Linked DNA regions of Arabidopsis thaliana. The protein of the gene in region 4 purifies or fractionates together with the protein of the main gene of each other region. This does not show direct contact. Each region holds a gene or a part of one and is shown on either strand. Other genes may lie near its edges. The genes, in order: AT1G26880, AT3G28900, AT4G18100 and AT3G14600.

Evidence for each region.
Region 1: the proteins of AT3G14600 (region 4) and AT1G26880 fractionate together in Arabidopsis thaliana (co-fractionation; one large-scale study listed by BioGRID). This does not show direct contact.
Region 2: the proteins of AT3G14600 (region 4) and AT3G28900 fractionate together in Arabidopsis thaliana (co-fractionation; one large-scale study listed by BioGRID). This does not show direct contact.
Region 3: the proteins of AT3G14600 (region 4) and AT4G18100 fractionate together in Arabidopsis thaliana (co-fractionation; one large-scale study listed by BioGRID). This does not show direct contact.

What each region holds. Positions count from the first base shown.
Region 1 is NC_003070.9:9,314,679-9,319,002, forward strand, and holds AT1G26880 (Ribosomal protein L34e superfamily protein), read right to left. Parts: upstream 2,203-4,324; 5' UTR 2,004-2,202; coding exon 1,925-2,003; intron 1,802-1,924; coding exon 1,722-1,801; intron 1,484-1,721; exon of another isoform or gene 1,337-1,483; intron 1,252-1,336; coding exon 1,142-1,251; coding exon of another isoform or gene 1,120-1,141; exon of another isoform or gene 1,056-1,119; coding exon 962-1,055; 3' UTR 627-961; downstream 1-626. Other genes in the region: FEZ (NAC (No Apical Meristem) domain transcriptional regulator superfamily protein), read left to right, coding at 1-305; AT1G26890 (FBD, F-box and Leucine Rich Repeat domains containing protein), read left to right, coding at 2,911-3,699, 3,766-3,975, 4,054-4,191, 4,278-4,324.
Region 2 is NC_003074.8:10,901,276-10,906,443, forward strand, and holds AT3G28900 (Ribosomal protein L34e superfamily protein), read right to left. Parts: upstream 3,184-5,168; 5' UTR 3,141-3,183; coding exon 3,062-3,140; intron 2,955-3,061; coding exon 2,875-2,954; intron 1,872-2,874; coding exon 1,762-1,871; intron 1,683-1,761; coding exon 1,589-1,682; 3' UTR 1,241-1,588; coding exon of another isoform or gene 1,052-1,240; 3' UTR 728-1,051; downstream 1-727. Other genes in the region: AT3G28899 (uncharacterized protein), read left to right, coding at 1,052-1,240.
Region 3 is NC_003075.7:10,034,745-10,038,404, forward strand, and holds AT4G18100 (Ribosomal protein L32e), read right to left. Parts: upstream 1,904-3,660; 5' UTR 1,732-1,903; coding exon 1,642-1,731; intron 1,283-1,641; coding exon 971-1,282; 3' UTR 724-970; downstream 1-723. Other genes in the region: AT4G18090 (uncharacterized protein), read right to left, coding at 1-103; AT4G18110 (RING/U-box superfamily protein), read right to left, coding at 2,333-2,974.
Region 4 is NC_003074.8:4,908,700-4,912,898, reverse strand, and holds AT3G14600 (Ribosomal protein L18ae/LX family protein), read right to left. Parts: upstream 2,271-4,199; 5' UTR 2,127-2,270; coding exon 2,112-2,126; intron 1,667-2,111; coding exon 1,551-1,666; intron 1,457-1,550; coding exon 1,393-1,456; intron 1,308-1,392; coding exon 966-1,307; 3' UTR 610-965; downstream 1-609. Other genes in the region: CYP72A7 (cytochrome P450, family 72, subfamily A, polypeptide 7), read right to left, coding at 61-334; AT3G14595 (Ribosomal protein L18ae family), read right to left, coding at 2,673-2,735, 2,838-2,946, 3,043-3,112, 3,706-3,862.

The DNA.
Region 1 (4,324 bases), on a different chromosome or scaffold from region 4:
GCCATATCGACCTCAGCGCAGTGTTGGCCCAAGAGCAATGTCCCCCGCTTGTAAGCCTACCACAGGAGTATCAAGAGACGGGATTCGAAGGAAATGGTATAATGAAGAACATGCGTGGTTCCAATGAAGATCATCTTGGTGATCATTGCGACACACTTCGGTTTGATGATTTCACTTCAACAATTAATGAGAACCATCGTCATCATCAAGACCTGAAACAGAACATGACATTGCTGGAGAGTTATTATTCTTCTTTATCGTCCATCAATAGCGATTTGCCAGCTTGTTTCTCCAGTACAACCTGATGTATGTGGATAGATTTTCCCATCTCTGCCTTCTTGGCTTGCTTTTTTCAAGCTAGGGTATTTCCTCTTTGTAGGCTTTCTCTTTCACTAAATTAAATCGTTTATTAATTATGCTTCCTTGAGTTTTTATTTTTCACAAGCAACTTTGCTTTAATGAAGAAGGCATGAGGTAAGTCAAGATGAACAAGAGAAAAACTGAATCGAGTTTTACTATATTCAAAATAAAGACCAGTAAGTATATTATTTCTGGAGCTGACTTCATTAATCGCATACGAGACTGTCGTTGTAGAATTCCCAAAAATTGAAGCATAGTTAAGATTTAAGACTCAAAATTGCTATTCCATAGTTGTGTCATGACGCTGAGAACATTAAAGTGCAAGCTTGATTTAGCCTCCGAGAGATTCAGAAATATTATATTAACCAAGAAGGTAATCACAACAGCTTATGTGATATGCATCAACAATAGAACATTAAAGATGAATTCAACAATTCCAAAACTGAAGAGAAGAGAATTGTCGACAAAGTTAAGAACTGATAACAGAATACAAAGCTTAAAAATTGGTCGAGTAACATAGATGTCCTCACATGACTGCACCAAGTCCTATCACTTGAACATAGCCATAATTCCAAAACAGAGAAGAATAAAACATAAAAGCTTAAGCCTTGGGGGCTACTTTCTCCTTAGCCTTTTGGAGTTTCAACACTTTCTTCACAATCTTTTGCTCTTCGACAAGGAATGCCCGAATGATCCTGTCGGAATCCAAAAACAACATTACGTTAAAGAACACCAAATTTATTGTAATAGAAAGATGACTCAAGTAAGATGGACAACAAACCTTTCCCTGACTGCAGAACCAGACAAGACTCCACCGTATGCTCGGTTTACAGTCCTCCTGTTTCTTGATAATCTTGACCTCTTGTACTCAGAGGGCCTCAAGTGAGGGATCTGAATAAACAAACAAAGTTATTCACATAATGCAAAAGGAATATGCCATTGCATAATCAAACATATATAGTTGGGAATAAACTGAAAATTTATGCCAAAGGTGGATAGCAAATCCTTATGTAATACAAGGAACAACTTGAAAGACAAAGTGGCACCGACAATTTAGCTTATGATTTATGTTATGTACTGATGTGGGATTTATCTAATCAGCACAAGACCGTCAATAAGCACAATACTATTAACTAAGTAACATGGTTTCTTGAAATAAGAAGACATGCCCATTAAAAATGAGACTGATCAATACTCAAAACATTCTAAAACACTCAATCTGATTGATTTGGTTATACATAGCCATCAAATTCCTAAAAAATTCAAACTCTTAACTCTATCTAGACCTCAAATCAAGACTCTAGATACAAGAACCATGTAAACCAAATCACACGAAGCCAAATCGAAATCAGAAGACTTACTCCTTGAATACGCTTGCCAGTAACAGGACATTTGGGGCCACTAGCTCTCTTCTTTGTGGTTTGATACACCAATTTACCTCCTGAAATCAACAATCCCAACACACATTACACTATGAAGAACAGATCGGTGATTAGAGAATTATGAGACTAAAGCAGAGGAGATTGAAGATATCAAGGAAGAAGAAGAAGAAGAAGAAAGGGACCTGGAGTCTTGACGATACGGTGCTGGTTCGATTTGGTGGCGTAGCTGTGTCGCGACCGGTAAACAAGACGCTGCACCATTTTCGCCTCCTTTTCTCTTTTAGGGTTTTCGTTTGGAACGAAGAATATAAGGGTGAGACTCCAAACCTAAACTAAGACTACAACTATATGGGCCTTTTCTCATTTTGGTCTTTAATTATGCTCCAGTTAAAGGCCCATGTACAAATAATTAAAAAAAATTCAACTTGTAAAAACCAATTCTATTATTAGCTGCAATTAGAATAAGTATCGTTTGTATGTTGTAGTGAACAGAAACTAGAAACATTATTACCAATTTTTATTTTGATTTTTTAAGAAATCATAGATGCATTAAATTATACGTAGAACTTTAAAAAGATTAATTAGTATTATAATCCGTTTAGTCAAAACACATTCAATTTATTTTATCAAATAGTGTAACAACAAAAAATTTAAATTCATGGCACGTAAAAACATAATCGATACATTTACAAGGGCGTGGTGCAAGCAATTAGAGCAAGCCAAGTAGAGAAATTAATCAAGGTTGGCGGCAAAATTGGGAATTGGAAAATAAATTCATCCAAAATAACAAATGGAAATATAAGGACCAGGCTAGAAAATTTGGATTTTCAACAATTTTGTTTGGTTTGATGATTAGATTTTTAAGGGAAAAAACTAACAATTATGTAAGAATGAGAATCGATTGATATATTTTATGTGTGTCTATATTGCAGTTTTACTTTAAAAATTGGGCAACTTTAATTTAGTTTCTTTTTTTATATGCATTAATAATATATATATATATATATATATATATTTTTTTTTTTTTTTCTTTGAACAAATAATAAATATTTGTATAATAATTGTTTTTTTTTGAAAAAAAGCTTTATAATATAGACTCACTTTTGTGTCACAGCCAGCGACGAGAAAAAAGTTCCATTGGCGTCTAGCTAGGTATCCGGTATCCCACATGGCCACATCTATGGGTTGCTTAAGTTGTTGGTCTTTTTTTTGGGATATTATACACGACGATGAGCATATATCAACTGTTCCAGAAACCGAAAGTTGTCAGATAAACGAAACTAGAATCTGTGCTTTTCCTAACGATTTGCTCTTGCAGATCTTGCATCACGTCCCAACAAAAGAGGCAGTCGCCACTTCAATCTTGTCTAAACGATGGCGTTATGTCTGGCCGATGGTGCCTAGACTCGAATTCAAAGAAGATGACAGCGAGAGCGTGGGGTGGTTTATTGAAAAGTCATTGCAACTCCATAAGGCACCGAAACTAGATAGTTTGGTTGTGGAACTCGGTCCACATTGTCCTGTTGACGTAGATGTCGGAAAGTGGGTTGAGAACGTAGTTAATAGAGGTGTGAAAGAGTTAGATTTCAATCTCCTCTGGACCGCAGAACCCACAGGATTTCCTAAGTGCCTTTACACATGCAACACGCTCGTTGATTTAAGTCTATCCAACAAGATTCTAGTGAACGTTTCTTCCCCTGTTCGCCTACCATCTCTCTTAACTCTGAGTCTTCGCTTTGTGGTGTACAAAGACGAAGAATCTCTTGTTAGCCTTTTATCAAGCTCCCCTGTTCTCAACTGCCTGAAGGTGGATCGACATAAGGATGACAACTTGACAAAATTTACCGTGAAAGTATCTACCTTGAAACAGTTACATTATAATACTACTCGGCGGAAGGATGGGGTAGAGGATGAGGAAGACGTGGTAGAGGAAAATGAGGTAGAGGATGATGATGATGTAGATGAGGTAGAGGATGATGAGGAAGGTGTGGTTGAGGAAGTTGACGTAGGTGAGGTAGAGGAGGATGATGATGATGATCTCAATAGATCCTTGGTAATAGATTCCCCTGCATTAGAAATTTTACGCTTACGTAACGTTTTGGACTATTGCTTGATAGAGAATATTTCTTGCCTTCATATAGCAAAACTCGGCTATGTTCATAACCCCGATCACAAGTTTCTGAGATCTCTTTCTTCTGTCATACATATGTACTTGTATTTGACCAAGCCAATGGTACCGATTACATATCTCCGATCCTCTTCTTTTCCTTGTTGCTTAGCCAACTAATGTTATATTTTTTTTTAATCACAGGTTGCGTGGTGTAACACCATCAAGTTCTCTCGGCTCTTGGAGTTTTATTTTGTTCCAAGCAATTTGGTAGATTGGTTGGAACCACTTATGTATTTGCTTCAAAATTCTCCTAAACTACAAATTCTTACGATTGACACTGTAAGTATACCATCCTCCTCCCCTTAAACACAAGTGCATCTAGTTTATAGATGAACTTAACATTATAGCAAATGTATTGATATCAGGATTCTACGTGTCTCCCACCTTCATGGAACCAGCCGAGTTCTTCTAC
Region 2 (5,168 bases), 6.0 Mb from region 4:
TAACATCATTATATAATATATAGAGTTTAAAAAATCTTAATTTTTTCCGTCATATTTTATGATTCAAAATTTTAAAATTGAACATATATTAACCAATTAGCAAAAAATGTGTGGGTTCAACGTCCCGCATCGACAAAAATATTTAGAAAATGATTTATAAACATATCATAAATAAGATCAACATTAATATAAATAAATGGTTTTTTACGGGACGGGTTTGGCGGGATGGGTTTGGCAGGACGATACTTAATAACAATTGTAAACTATAAAATAAAAATATATTATAGATAGATACAATTTGCAAAAAAAAAATTATACTAACTTTAAAAAGATAAATTGTCACCGCGGTATACCGCGGGATAAAATCTAGTTTATATATTATTTTTGAAGAAGAGCTTGTTTGCCGTTTATTTCTATATAAAATTAGATGTTAAAATAAAACAAATTTTATTTGTTTTATTTGTTTTTTCTATAAGGAAATAGAAAAACATTTTTCAAATATAAATTTTTATGTGGAACATAGAGCATCCTCATTAGACAATTTTTGGAATTGATGGGTATCTTTAGCATAGATTAATAATAAATTTAAAGACACAAAAGTCACTCTTTTTGGTGTCTCAAGAGACTCAAATCTAAAATTAAAGACACTCTCCATTTTTAATATTTTTATTAGTTATATATATATATATAAACTTTTTAAAAATCTTGTTGACAAATATCGGCAAGAATTATACCAATAGACAAATGAACACAAACTTTTCGGTTCGCCCTTTTCTCTCTCTTAGAATTTTACTCTCCCTTTTCTCTAAAACTCCAGCCGCCGCCTGTATTTAGGGTTACCGGTTCCGGTGGCTTTCTCAGCACCGGAACCGGGGTCTTTTGTTTTGCTCTTATTCTACCTTTGTTTTATTTTCTCTTTAGACACATCTGAGAGATTTTCTTCCAACGGTTTTGAATCTGAATTTTCAGATCTAGATATATAAAGTCTAAAACTTTTCCTTTCTAGGTTTTTGCTGCTTGTCTTTTGTCTTTTTCAAGAGCAGAGTCAGATATGGCCAATCTATCCAAGGCAGAGACGTTTCTATCCGAATTTTCGCCTCAGACTTCTGAAATTTCACCTGAAGATCCCGATCTCGTTCTCTCCTTTATAAGGCTCTCACTCCTTCGGGTCTTTGAATGTTGGTTTTATCTCACCACCCATGCGTGTTTAGGTAGAGTAAAGGGATCAGATGTGGTGTAATTTGTTGGATCGGGTTTTTTTCCCTTGTTTCATTTTAATATGTTTTTAGTCCCCGGGAGGTTCCATGTACTCTCCGACTTAGCCTCTGGAAGAGTATTTCTCTTGTCAGCTCTTGTACTCAGATCTTCTATCAATGAAATCTATATTTCCAGTGAAAAAAAAAAAGACCAATGAACACAAACGGAGACACTTTGAGAAAGTAAAATCTGAATGGAGAACAAAACAGAACTCAGAAATTATCAAAAAACAAACATTTGCCTCTTTTTTTCGTGAACAAAAACTCATGTCTATCGATCCCTACAAAATAAGTTTCTCCATAGATCTTATAAGACTCCAAAAAGTTTTCTTCTAACTCTTTGGTGCAGTCTTCTCTTTCGCCTTCTGAAGCTTCAAAACCTTCTTCACAATCTTCTGTTCTTCAACCAAGAAGGCCCTGACGATCCTGGAACAGAGAAAAGAGTAAGATTAGTTGCAATACTCTAAAGAAACCAATTTTTAAGAGGTCTTTACAATACACTTACCTCTCCCTAACAGCAACTCCAGATAGAACACCACCATATGCACGATTCACTGTCCTCTCGTTCCTTGCCAACCTTGACCTTTTGTACTCAGCAGGTCTCAAATGCGGAATCTGCAGAAAACAAACATAGAAAGTAAAGCTTAAGAAACCATGCTAATTCAAAAAAAGGAATGTGTTTTTGAGGTTCTATTGAGATTAAGCATATGAGTAACCCTTGATTATTCGATAAGAACCAGGGGCTGATCCAAGTAACTACCAACTCATTATATACCAGGTACTAGTCTTCGACAAACACAATAGGAACAGAGAAAGCCAAATGATGCTCAACTTAAATTCAGGCTATCAAGTTATTGTTAGAATTAGCTGAAAGGAATACTAAGTCGAGTAACCATGTAAACTTTGTTTCTCTATATCAATGGGCATGAAAGTAAGATATTTTTCACCATTTTACCAACTTAAGGAAAGCCTTCAACCAACAAAATTCTTGAATTCAATCCCTAAAGTGTCTATGTTTTAATTTAAGTTCCAAATTTGGTCTCAATGCCAAAATAACCAATGTGTAACCCTTGGTCTCCAAGACACATTATTCGTAAACAGAAACATAAACACGAACCAGAAAGCAGCTAATAGACCACAAGGGACATGAACCAAACTTGCATATCTTTAAGAGCAGGCTATCATCAAGTCAAGGTAAGAACTGGCTGAAATGGACATGAAGTATAAATATATTACGACAAGTCTAGATCAATTTTAACTTTTATCCCTTGTGGCTTTAGAGGCGACAAGTTTATACAAACATTGTTGTCCACTACACATAAACACGTACACTAACACCAACATTTACAAACTTTTATCCAAATATACTAAAGAAAACAGCTAGCACCACAAGAGACATGAACCGAATTTGAAACAGTCAGTCAAATTAAACTCAAACACGAACCCTAACACCAAAAGACACAAACTTTCTTGAAACAGAGAATCAAACTAAACTCAAAACACGAACCCTAACAGCAAAATGCACAATTTCTTGATCCAGAGAATCTAACTAAACTCAAAACACGAACCCTAACAGCAAAATTCACCAACTTTTTTGAAATTGAATAGAAAAGATTACCCCTTGGATTCTCTTGCCAGTAACAGGGCACTTAGGTCCACTAGCTCTCTTGTTCGTCGTCTGGTAAGTCAATTTTCCACCTTTAAGCCAAATAACCCCAAATTTTCAACAAAAACTAGATCCCAAAATTTCAATGATCTTTCAAGAGTCACTACAAAGAGACATTAGAGAGCTTTTAGTACATTACCAGGAGTTTTGACGATGCGGTGTTGGTTGGACTTGGTGGCGTAAGAGTGACGTGATCGGTAAACAAGACGTTGAACCATTTTTGCTGAGCTCTGAGGTCAGTAAGAGTCGGCCAAAGGGGATAAAATGTATTGATACGAGTTTATATATGGAGGTGATCTCTTGAGCCCTAGATCTAATGGATGTAGTGAGCTTACGATTCGACGGCTCAGATTGATTGTAGTGTTTTTTATCTTTTTCTTTTTTTCTTTAATTTGTGTATTAATCAATAGTTTCTATATTTGCATTTTGTGTTGGTAAAGAAACACGTAAAAAAACACTTAGAGCATCTCCAATGTAAAAATGAAGCTTTCTTCATAGGTTCTATGTTTTTAAGTTGGAAAAAATATATCAGAATGATTTATTTTTTGAGAGAGCTGTCTCTCTTGAGATAGATTTTGAAAAGCAAAAGAGACTATTACGTGTCATGTTTTGCCCGATTTTTTGACAAAACAAGAAGAAGAAAAAAACGATTCTTTGACAAAACAAGAAAGAAAAAAAACAGTCTTTTTGGCGATAGCGATTAGGTCGGAGATTTCTCTGATTACATTGATTGGGACTAAAATCCAGTGTGATTAAATTGTTGATCGAAGACTCAATCATAGACGATCCTTTAGTGAAGAAGCAAAATCACGGAGAACGGCGAGAAGAATGTGAAATCGAGAGCATCGTTAGAGGAGCTTTATGATTTATAGAGGCAGAGGATGGAGAAGCGTCGGCCGGAAACAATGTGCATAGGTACGACCTTGAGGTTAGTTTATTCCTTTTAAACCTAATCAAAACAAAATATAGTATTCATGGGATTAGGTTTATTGTAATGGATTTGAGGATTTGGTAGATAAAAGCAGTAAATTGTGGATTGAAGAATTTTCTTGTAAGAGATGTTTCATGTAAGGGAAGGATCATATTCTGGAACATTTGTTAGCTTTGGTTACTTCTCACTATCTACATATACATTTTTGCAGTCATTTTATGAAATAAATCCTCGAGTTGGAACTTATTTACACGGAATGCCATTGACATTAATATTCCTAATTAGTAGCATTTTCTTATCTAATATATCTCCATTAATTATAATTACTTAAAAAATGAGAAATTTTAGGACATTATTAATATATACTTGATTAAAAAATAAAATATTGTAGTTAATTAAACATTTAAAATATTTAACAGAATAAACGTTTAGAATATTTATAATATGTAAAATCTATAAAATTTATATAATTGTTTGAAAAAACTTTTAAATTCATTTGAATTATATTTTTTTTAATAAAAGTATTATTTAAACAAAAAACAAAAAAATAGTTTTTAATTTCACCGAACGGGATTAGATGGTAGGACGGGTTTATAATATTTATAATATATGAACTTTTATACAATTTAATAACCATTTGAACTAAAAACAATTAAATTGATTTAAATTATATATTTTTCAATTAAAGTATTATTAAAACAAAAATAACAAAATAAAGTTTAATTTCATTGAACGGGTTAGATGGTAAGACGAGTTTGGATCGATAAAATACGAGACGCTAAACCACATGTGAAATCCATTAGATATGTTTGATTTCACTGAACGAGATTAGATGATATGACGGGTTTAGGTCGATAGTAATACAAGACGGTGTACCATAGGTGAAATCTTAGATATAAAAATTAAAATACAATTATATTATCTTAAACACTAAAAAAATAAAAATATTAATAAAACAAATATAATTTAAATTTGAATTATTTAGTTATAATCTAGATTTTAACTTAATTAACTGTATTTTATTTTTCTTATACTTTTAAACAGTAAAAATTAAACATAGTAAGATATAAGAGTTGTACATTTTAAAAGTACAGCAAATTAAATCATATATATTTTAAATCTACTAAACAAGTTAAATTTTTATTTTTAAAAAAGAATATAGCCTCGTGGTGTACCGCGGGTTAAAATCTCGTTGTAATGAAATTCAATATACTCAGGGGATGATTGAAGTGAGAGAAGGATTCTTGGGTTAATTCTATAAAGTATAGAAAGATAAAGTTTTGTTGCCTTCAGTCTGATTCTGCATTGAATACTT
Region 3 (3,660 bases), on a different chromosome or scaffold from region 4:
CAGTAAGAATACTTGAAAAGATAGAAGATTCAGGACTCATCTTCTTCTCCCAATCACTTTCTTCTGCTTCGTTTGTATCTTCCCTCGAATCTCTGATCTTCATCTTCTCGTTTCAGAGAGAGAGAGAGACTTTCTATATGTTTGTACTTAAGTAGTCTTTCATACAAAGACGTTTGAGCTGACGTGTAGTGTAAACGACAAGCAAAACGTAAACTCCAAATTTACGCGTCTCTTCTACATTCTCACAGTATAGAATCTCTCTGAGGCATTTCGTCGGGGAAAAGTTAAACCTTTTGAAAATCCCACGAGCTCTGTCCAAAGATTTGGTTCTTTAAGTGATTAGTATACACAATTTGTAACTAAGGAACCTGAACCGTTGAGGAATGACGCGACTCACCATCTCCTAAAAACTCACTCTTTAACTATGAAAATATGGTGTTGCTCTCTCTCGCATATCGTTTGGTAGACGAAAGGTCAAAACTTTTGGTGTTACTGTTAGAGTTTGTGTGGGTCAATTGTCAGAACCAAAAAGCCATTGAGTTTATTGTAAACTCATGTGTACTATAATTACATTGTATTTAGTTATGCTGTGTTTGTAAGTCAATCAAGTTTAACTGTACATAGATGCATTGTTTCAGCAACGAGACACGAGATTGCTCTCTACTAGTAATTTGATCGCTTCTTGTCTACCGAATGTGAGAGACTCGAACAATTCAAATCATCCACCAAGTTAAATTGAGATCCTCTGACAAATTATTAAATTCTAGATGAAATAGGCTCAACCTTTGACAAGTAATGAATCCGAAATAGCTTTAACAAAAGGTCTTAACTTGATCTGTTTCATACTAAAACCAAAACTCATGTTTGTTCACTCCAAACACAAACACAGCAGTAATCAAAAATCGTCTTATAACAAAAAGGAAATGCAACAAAACAGAAGAAACAACTAAGTAGTAGGCAAGATTCTTCTTCACTCGTCTTCTTGGCTACGGAGCCTAGCAAGCCTGTTGGTAACAACAACGTCTAGCTGAGAAGCTCTCTCAACAATTGCCTTTCTCTTCTTAGTGGAGACGTTGTGAGCAATCTCAGCACAGTAAGTCCTGTTGTGCATCATCAACAACTCGAGCTCACTTGTGTTGTGAACAACGAATTTCTTGAATCCATTGGGAAGATAGTGACGAGTCTTCTTGTCAGATCCGTAACCAACATTGGGCATCAAAGTCACACCTTTGAACTTTCTTCTCACCCTTGAATCAATACCCTTTGGCCTCCTCCAGCTTTCCTGAATATTTCCCAACCACAAAGTACATAAGAAATCAAACCAAATCACCACAAACATGTCAAAAAGCTCAATTCTTCCAAAAACGACATAAGAGACTAATCTGGAATCAAACTCAACCTAATCTGGAATCGAATGAATATTGTTCATGAGAGAACTCAGGCAAGCTAAAATCATCATTTTCATGTAATATCTTCATAGATAGAGACTAATGTCAGATGTTTAATTCAACCACCATATTGCATCCTAAAGCTACAAACTTTAAGATACAGCTACCAATAAAAACTTAAAGGAACAAAACCCAGAGATTGATCTACTAAAATCCTAAAACTCTGTGAAATCAAATGAGAAAAAGGGTTTACCTTGACGGTGATTCTACGGTCACTCTGGGGTCTGATGAACTTAGCAGACCTCTTCTTCACAACCTTCTTGGTAAGCAATGGGACCGCCATATTTGCTTCTTCGTAAGATCGATATCTCAAAAGCGACTCCGTAAAACAGCTGAACAAACCTAAAATGTCTTTTATAAGCGTACACTAGGGTTTCTGATATTACATTACTAAATGGGCTCACGTTGTGGCCCAATAAGATTTCTTTCACGGCCTTTTCGTTTTTTCCTTCAACTAAAGAAATTGTATGCTCTTAAGAAAACAATCTAATTTATTAAACTAAAAGGAAAATACACTTTTTTCTTCAATTAAGAAAATTTTTCGTTTTTTTTTTTTCACTGGAAGATTAATTTTCATTGATGAGATATTAGGTGAAATACAAAAAGCCGACGATCAATACATGATCCCGGAAACTAAGTCGAAGGATGACAAAGATATCCTCGGAAACTAAGCCAAGAAATATGGAGAGCAAATAACAACACTACAAGAGAAACAAGTCAAAACAATGACGACTAAGGAAGCACACAACAAAGGAAATCAAAACTCTTAACTCAGAATCTAGCACCAAACATCTTGCATATTATCAATCCAGAAACGAGAAACGCTTGAATTGTTTCTTTCTTCCTTTTTCTTTTTTTGTTTCTTAATTTCTTTTTACAAAATATCATTCATGGTGGTCTTCTTCTGCTCGACGATTGTGGATGTCGTCACGACAAGTAGGACATGATCGCTTGCAGCGTAGCCAGGGGAGAATACAATCTTTATGAAAACTGTGAGAACAAAGCAACTTCATGATCCTCCTCTCACTACCTGATGATGCTAACTCTTCTAGACATATTATGCACTCTTCTTCTATTGGTATTAGACAACCTTGAGAGTCATAATCATTGACTCTTAACCAATCACTATACAACGTTTCTAGAACAACTTCAACTTCAACCAAGAAACCATCTTTTTCTTCTTCTTCAAGGTGGCGTCTTATATCAATCAGGTCTTCGCAGATTTTAGGAACAATACTTTGCTGAATCCACTTGTTGATCTTTGACTTGGACAACACGTTAGCCACAAATATACTGCATATTTCTTCTCCGGTGAGGAAAACAGGTGGGATCTCGGATGCGATTCTTACTGTTGCATTCTTCTTTCCTAGCGATTTTTGTTGAGCCAAAGTTTCACGACCGCTAGGACTCCGGATAAGAATCCGCTCAATTCCTTGGATACTTATTGAGAAGGATCCTGAATTTTTGTGATCGACGATGTGAGTCTTAGATTCATAGTTTAGAATCCATGTTGATGTGCCCTCCATAATTAAAAGCCTTGTTGATTAAATTATGTCTGTTTTGGCTCTAAAACAATCGATCTCTTCTTTATTTATAGAGGTTCATTGGAGTCTCCAAATTCACTTAGGTTTCAAATTTACATTTATTTAGAAAAATAGAAAAAATGATGCCCTAAATAAATGGAACATGTTTAATCAATGATTATCTAAACACAAAATTAAAAAATTCGGGCCAAACTGATTTTTTTTGTTTTGTCAAATGTTTTAGTTGACTAAGTATTATCAACTAAAAACAATTAAACAGATATATTTTTCGGATTCCAAAAGAAGTTTAAATATAGTTGAATTTAATGGGAAAAAATAGAAAAAGGAGTAAAAAATGTCGAGCCACTTGGTCCTTTGTTACTCAATCATTCGCCGTTGTTCCGATCATTACTCTTCTCTTCTCCATCCAATTAAAGATTCTCTCTTTTAATAATGCTTTCAAAAGAATATCTAATTTCAGGAATAATCAAAAACTTATTTAATTTCTCTCTTCTTTATCAATGTGTATATATAATACACACATATATAAGAAAGTGTTTCTTCTGTATTCGTGGGAGAAACAAACAAAAAACAATTTCTTCTAGGTAAGTTTTTTTTTTTTGTTCTTCCTGCTAAAGTTTCGATTTTTAAACTAATTGATACTTGTGTGTTCCTTTGGCTCTAGCGGC
Region 4 (4,199 bases):
TAAATTCTACACAATTCACTTCCCAACTCTGCTGAAACAAAGAAAGAAAAGACACTATACCGTGAGAATTGAGCATCTTTAAGGCAAGAGGAAGGAGACGTGGGGTGATATCATCCGTTACATTGATGGGTTTAGATCTCGCTTCCATCATCATATCAACATTCCTCTTTATATCTCCGACGAGAGGAGTGTAAGGAGTTCCGGTAAGACCCTGTCTTTTCAAAGAACTCTCAAGCATCTTTGGTTTTATCCAGACCCACTTCACGATCCGCCATGTCCACAGTACCACTACTGCTACAAGCACCGGTAAAGCTGCTACTACTGAAAAAGACATCTCCGATTCTCACACTCACTCTGGAGTCCGCAAGTTTTTGTGGGTCTTTATAAAGATTGAGACTTTTTGGCTGTCACTGGAGTTTTGATTATACAAGTTACACTCCAAATCCTTTGCCGGAAAAGGGGCTTTTTCTGTGTACTTGCGTGTAAGAGTTTTCCATCTGTTCTCGTCTACTTGCAATTTTTTTAATCGATAAATCATGAAAAGTGATCCACTGAGCATGATGAATTGAACTGCTCTCAATCCTTTTTGGGTGAAGTGTGTGTCAGACGCCGAGAGCTCCGGGGACATGTAGCATAAACCAGACTGCAGATGAAGACATTTATGGAATTGCGAGAATAGTTTCATACAAGAATGAGAATGAAGTGTTGCTAGTTTAGTGGTCGTTGGCATACAAAGCAGATTGGTTTATGATAGTGGGAGATAGTACAGTTTTGAACTTTCTGCAACATTACACTAAAGCAGCAAAACTTTGGAAACTGACGAAAATTGGAGATGAGTCACCTTAATATTGTATCATATCTAGAACAAAAAAAAAGTTGAAAAATGTTCAAAAGAAGATAACTCCAGTGTTTTGTTCAGACTAGGAACAAGAAGCCTATTCTGATGAGAATCATGTCGGTTGCTTCTACATGAAAAGGTTAGGTTTTGATGCCTTGTATGTAGTCTTAAGCTTCCTGCTTGGTGGTCTGACCTTCCTGAAAACAAGAGGGAACTTGATCTTCGAGTTATGGAACTGCTTGGTGATCTCTCTCTTGCAAAGCTTTGCAGGGACAGTCGCAGTCTTGATGATCTGAATGCAAGGGAACCTCACTCTATGACGAGAAGCCATCTCAGTGTACATCTGCTCCACTCCACCATTGAGTGTTGTGTCACGGTACTCCTTGTACATGTTGTGGTACCCAGTTCGGCTCTGATAACGCAACCAGATCCCGTAGTTCTTGATGGTCGTTGGGTTCTTCTCGAAAATCTATAATAAAGTAGAACAACAAGATCAGATACAAGTAGCCATCTTTCAGCATATCTAAGATATCTAAGTAAAATGCAATCCATACCTCATTGATGGCAAGCATCTGTCCGTTGCTTTTCTTCACCTTCTTCAGTTTCCTCATGAAGTACCTAGATACAACGAGCAAATCCATTTTAGATCAGGAAATAAACAAGACAAAATGGAGTTTACATTAACAAACTGGTATCAAATCGAATGGCTCACCAGAACTTGGACTTGGCGCATACTTCATTTCTACCCCAAAGCTTCATCCTGTAGATCTTAGGGTGCTCATCGTTCTCTGTCGGGAGGGCTCTCCCAACCACCTGATACTGGTGAAACTGCAATGTACATTGAATCAATTAATCACAAACCAACAAAAATATCAGCTTTGGTAAAACCTTAAACAGCACCAGACCCTAATCCTTACATCATATCAACTCTCTCAGTGAGTCACAAGACAACACCGATCTCTGGGCCTAAGGATAGCTAATGAAGCTTAAAATGATTCACAATGATCATTTTAGAAGACATTAAGCACTAAAACAATCATCCTAGAGATTCATACAGAACAAACCAAATCCGGAAATAAACACTTCAAATTCATATTAATTTAACGGATGCACATAGAAAAAGTTTCATACTTTCTAAGCGAATCAGAACCTATTTATCCTTATAATACACTATCCCCGACCGAGCACAGTTGATGATTCTCCAAATCAAATCTTCAGAAGTCCAAATACCCAGAATCACGTATCCTATACACAGACTAAAGAAGTAACTTACCCGGAAACCACCCATTTCCACGGAGAGATCAAGCTCCAACGAATCAGCCAAGAGCAAAACAGAGAGAAAAGAGCTAAACGGTGGCGCTCATGAGAAAACTATAAAAGAGGTTTCTCTAAAGGACAAACCCTAGGGGCCGTCTCTGTGGGCTTTTCTTTTTCCTACTTGGGCCTTTAATTATTCTTCTCATTACATTGGCGTTACAAAAATATTTGCAGCGGGTAAATCGGGTAAATTAAATTTACTTTTTTACTGTCGCCGGTCAAATGAGCTCAAGTGTTTTTATGAGTCAGTGGTTCAGGTCAAACACATTTACTAAATGAGCTTATAATCAGATTCATTTGAATTCGTATCATCTAAACAAATGCAAATTTTTTATATAAAAAAAATTCTTTGAAAATGCAAACACTAGTATGTTTTCAGAAGAAGAACTTTTCAAAGAAACATATACAGTACTGTTTTGTAATCTAGAGACAATACACATTATGTAAACAAACATTATGGATCGATCTTCTTCTGAAACAAAATCTCAACGGATTCAGATTGTTGACATCTTCACCTTCATGACCACACCCCTGATCCTCTTACGGTTCCAAAGATGACGATAATGGTAGCAAAAACAGCCTGCGAAAAGGAAGGGTTAGTCAGAATTGATTTATATTTGTGATAAAGAAAAGAGAAATGGTTCTTGTTGAGTGAGAGAGATATATAGAGTAGTGGACTTACCCCAACTGCGCAAGCTATATATCCTGGTCTCTCACGCGGGTTCCTAGAGAATAATAGAAGGAAGAAACCGATGTACCAGGGCAAAGCGAAGAAGAAACCAAGGATGAATCTTCAAGACACATCAAACCAAAAAAAACTCTCAAAAATTATCAAGAATGTAATGAGAAGAGAAGTTAGGTAAAAATAAATGATAAAGATCACTTACAATACCCAGCCAATGCCGATACCGCAACAACGACCGTGTTCTGTTGGTCTTACTCCATTAACAACATAACCTGCGACCAAAGACTATAGTTGATGAAAACTAGAGATAACCAAAACGAGCTTTAGAACAGCCAAGTGGTGTGTGTACGTTGCAATAATGATACAATCCTTTTGAGAAACTACAGTTTAGCTAGAAATTTTGGCAGATGAGATAAGAGATTCTGATGTTTGTTTCCAAATGAATCCACAATGTTCAAAATACTAAGCAAAAAAATCATTTGTCAAATTGTAAGACGTAAACGCCAAAAGAGAACCTTCTATTTGCATTATCTATTTCAAAAACCTGATTTTTTTTTTTATAAAAAAGATTCATTTCTTCATGTCATTATTCTCAAGTGAATCTAGCATCTTGATTTATATCATAGAAGAGGCAATATACAATTTCTCTCTAATTACTGGATCACTCGAATTTTCAAATAATCAAATTTTAATCCAATGCGAATCTTAGCATCTTAGATGAGGTAAAAAGTTGATCAAAAAGGATCTTCGATATAATGGATCAAGAATAAAATGAAGCTTCTATACCAAACAAAACACAAAACAAAACAAAACGACAGCTTTGATGATGTTGTCCATATAATGAGAGATGAGGAAAGAAAGAAACCTTGGGCGTAGGGCTGAGCAGGCTGAGGATAACCGGTGGCGGGAGGCTGCTGCTGCGGTGGATAGTTAGAGACGCCTTGAAACGGAGGAGGAGGCTGTTGTTGATGTTGATGATCTGTCACCACAGATCTGTTTTTATCGTCGCCACCGCTCGTCATCTCTCAACAGATCAAACTAAACAAAAAAACAGATGTTTCTCTGTTTTCTTTGATCTGGAGACGGTGGTGAACCAAGATTTCGGTTTTGCTGGATGCTTCTTATTAAAGTTTCGTATTTCTAGGGGAAGTGCATGTGCCACGTGGCTTTTTATGTGGTGGTTAGTCAGCTTTCCTCAACCAGATTTTCCTATAATAATCTTTGATATTTGCGTAATCCCAGGGGAAACATTCGCTTCTCTTTTTTTTTCCTAAATATAAAAACAAACACCGACGGAAATGAAATTTTTTGTTCAATTTCTTTCTTGTATCTATATTCTCTAACTATATATCGTTTAAT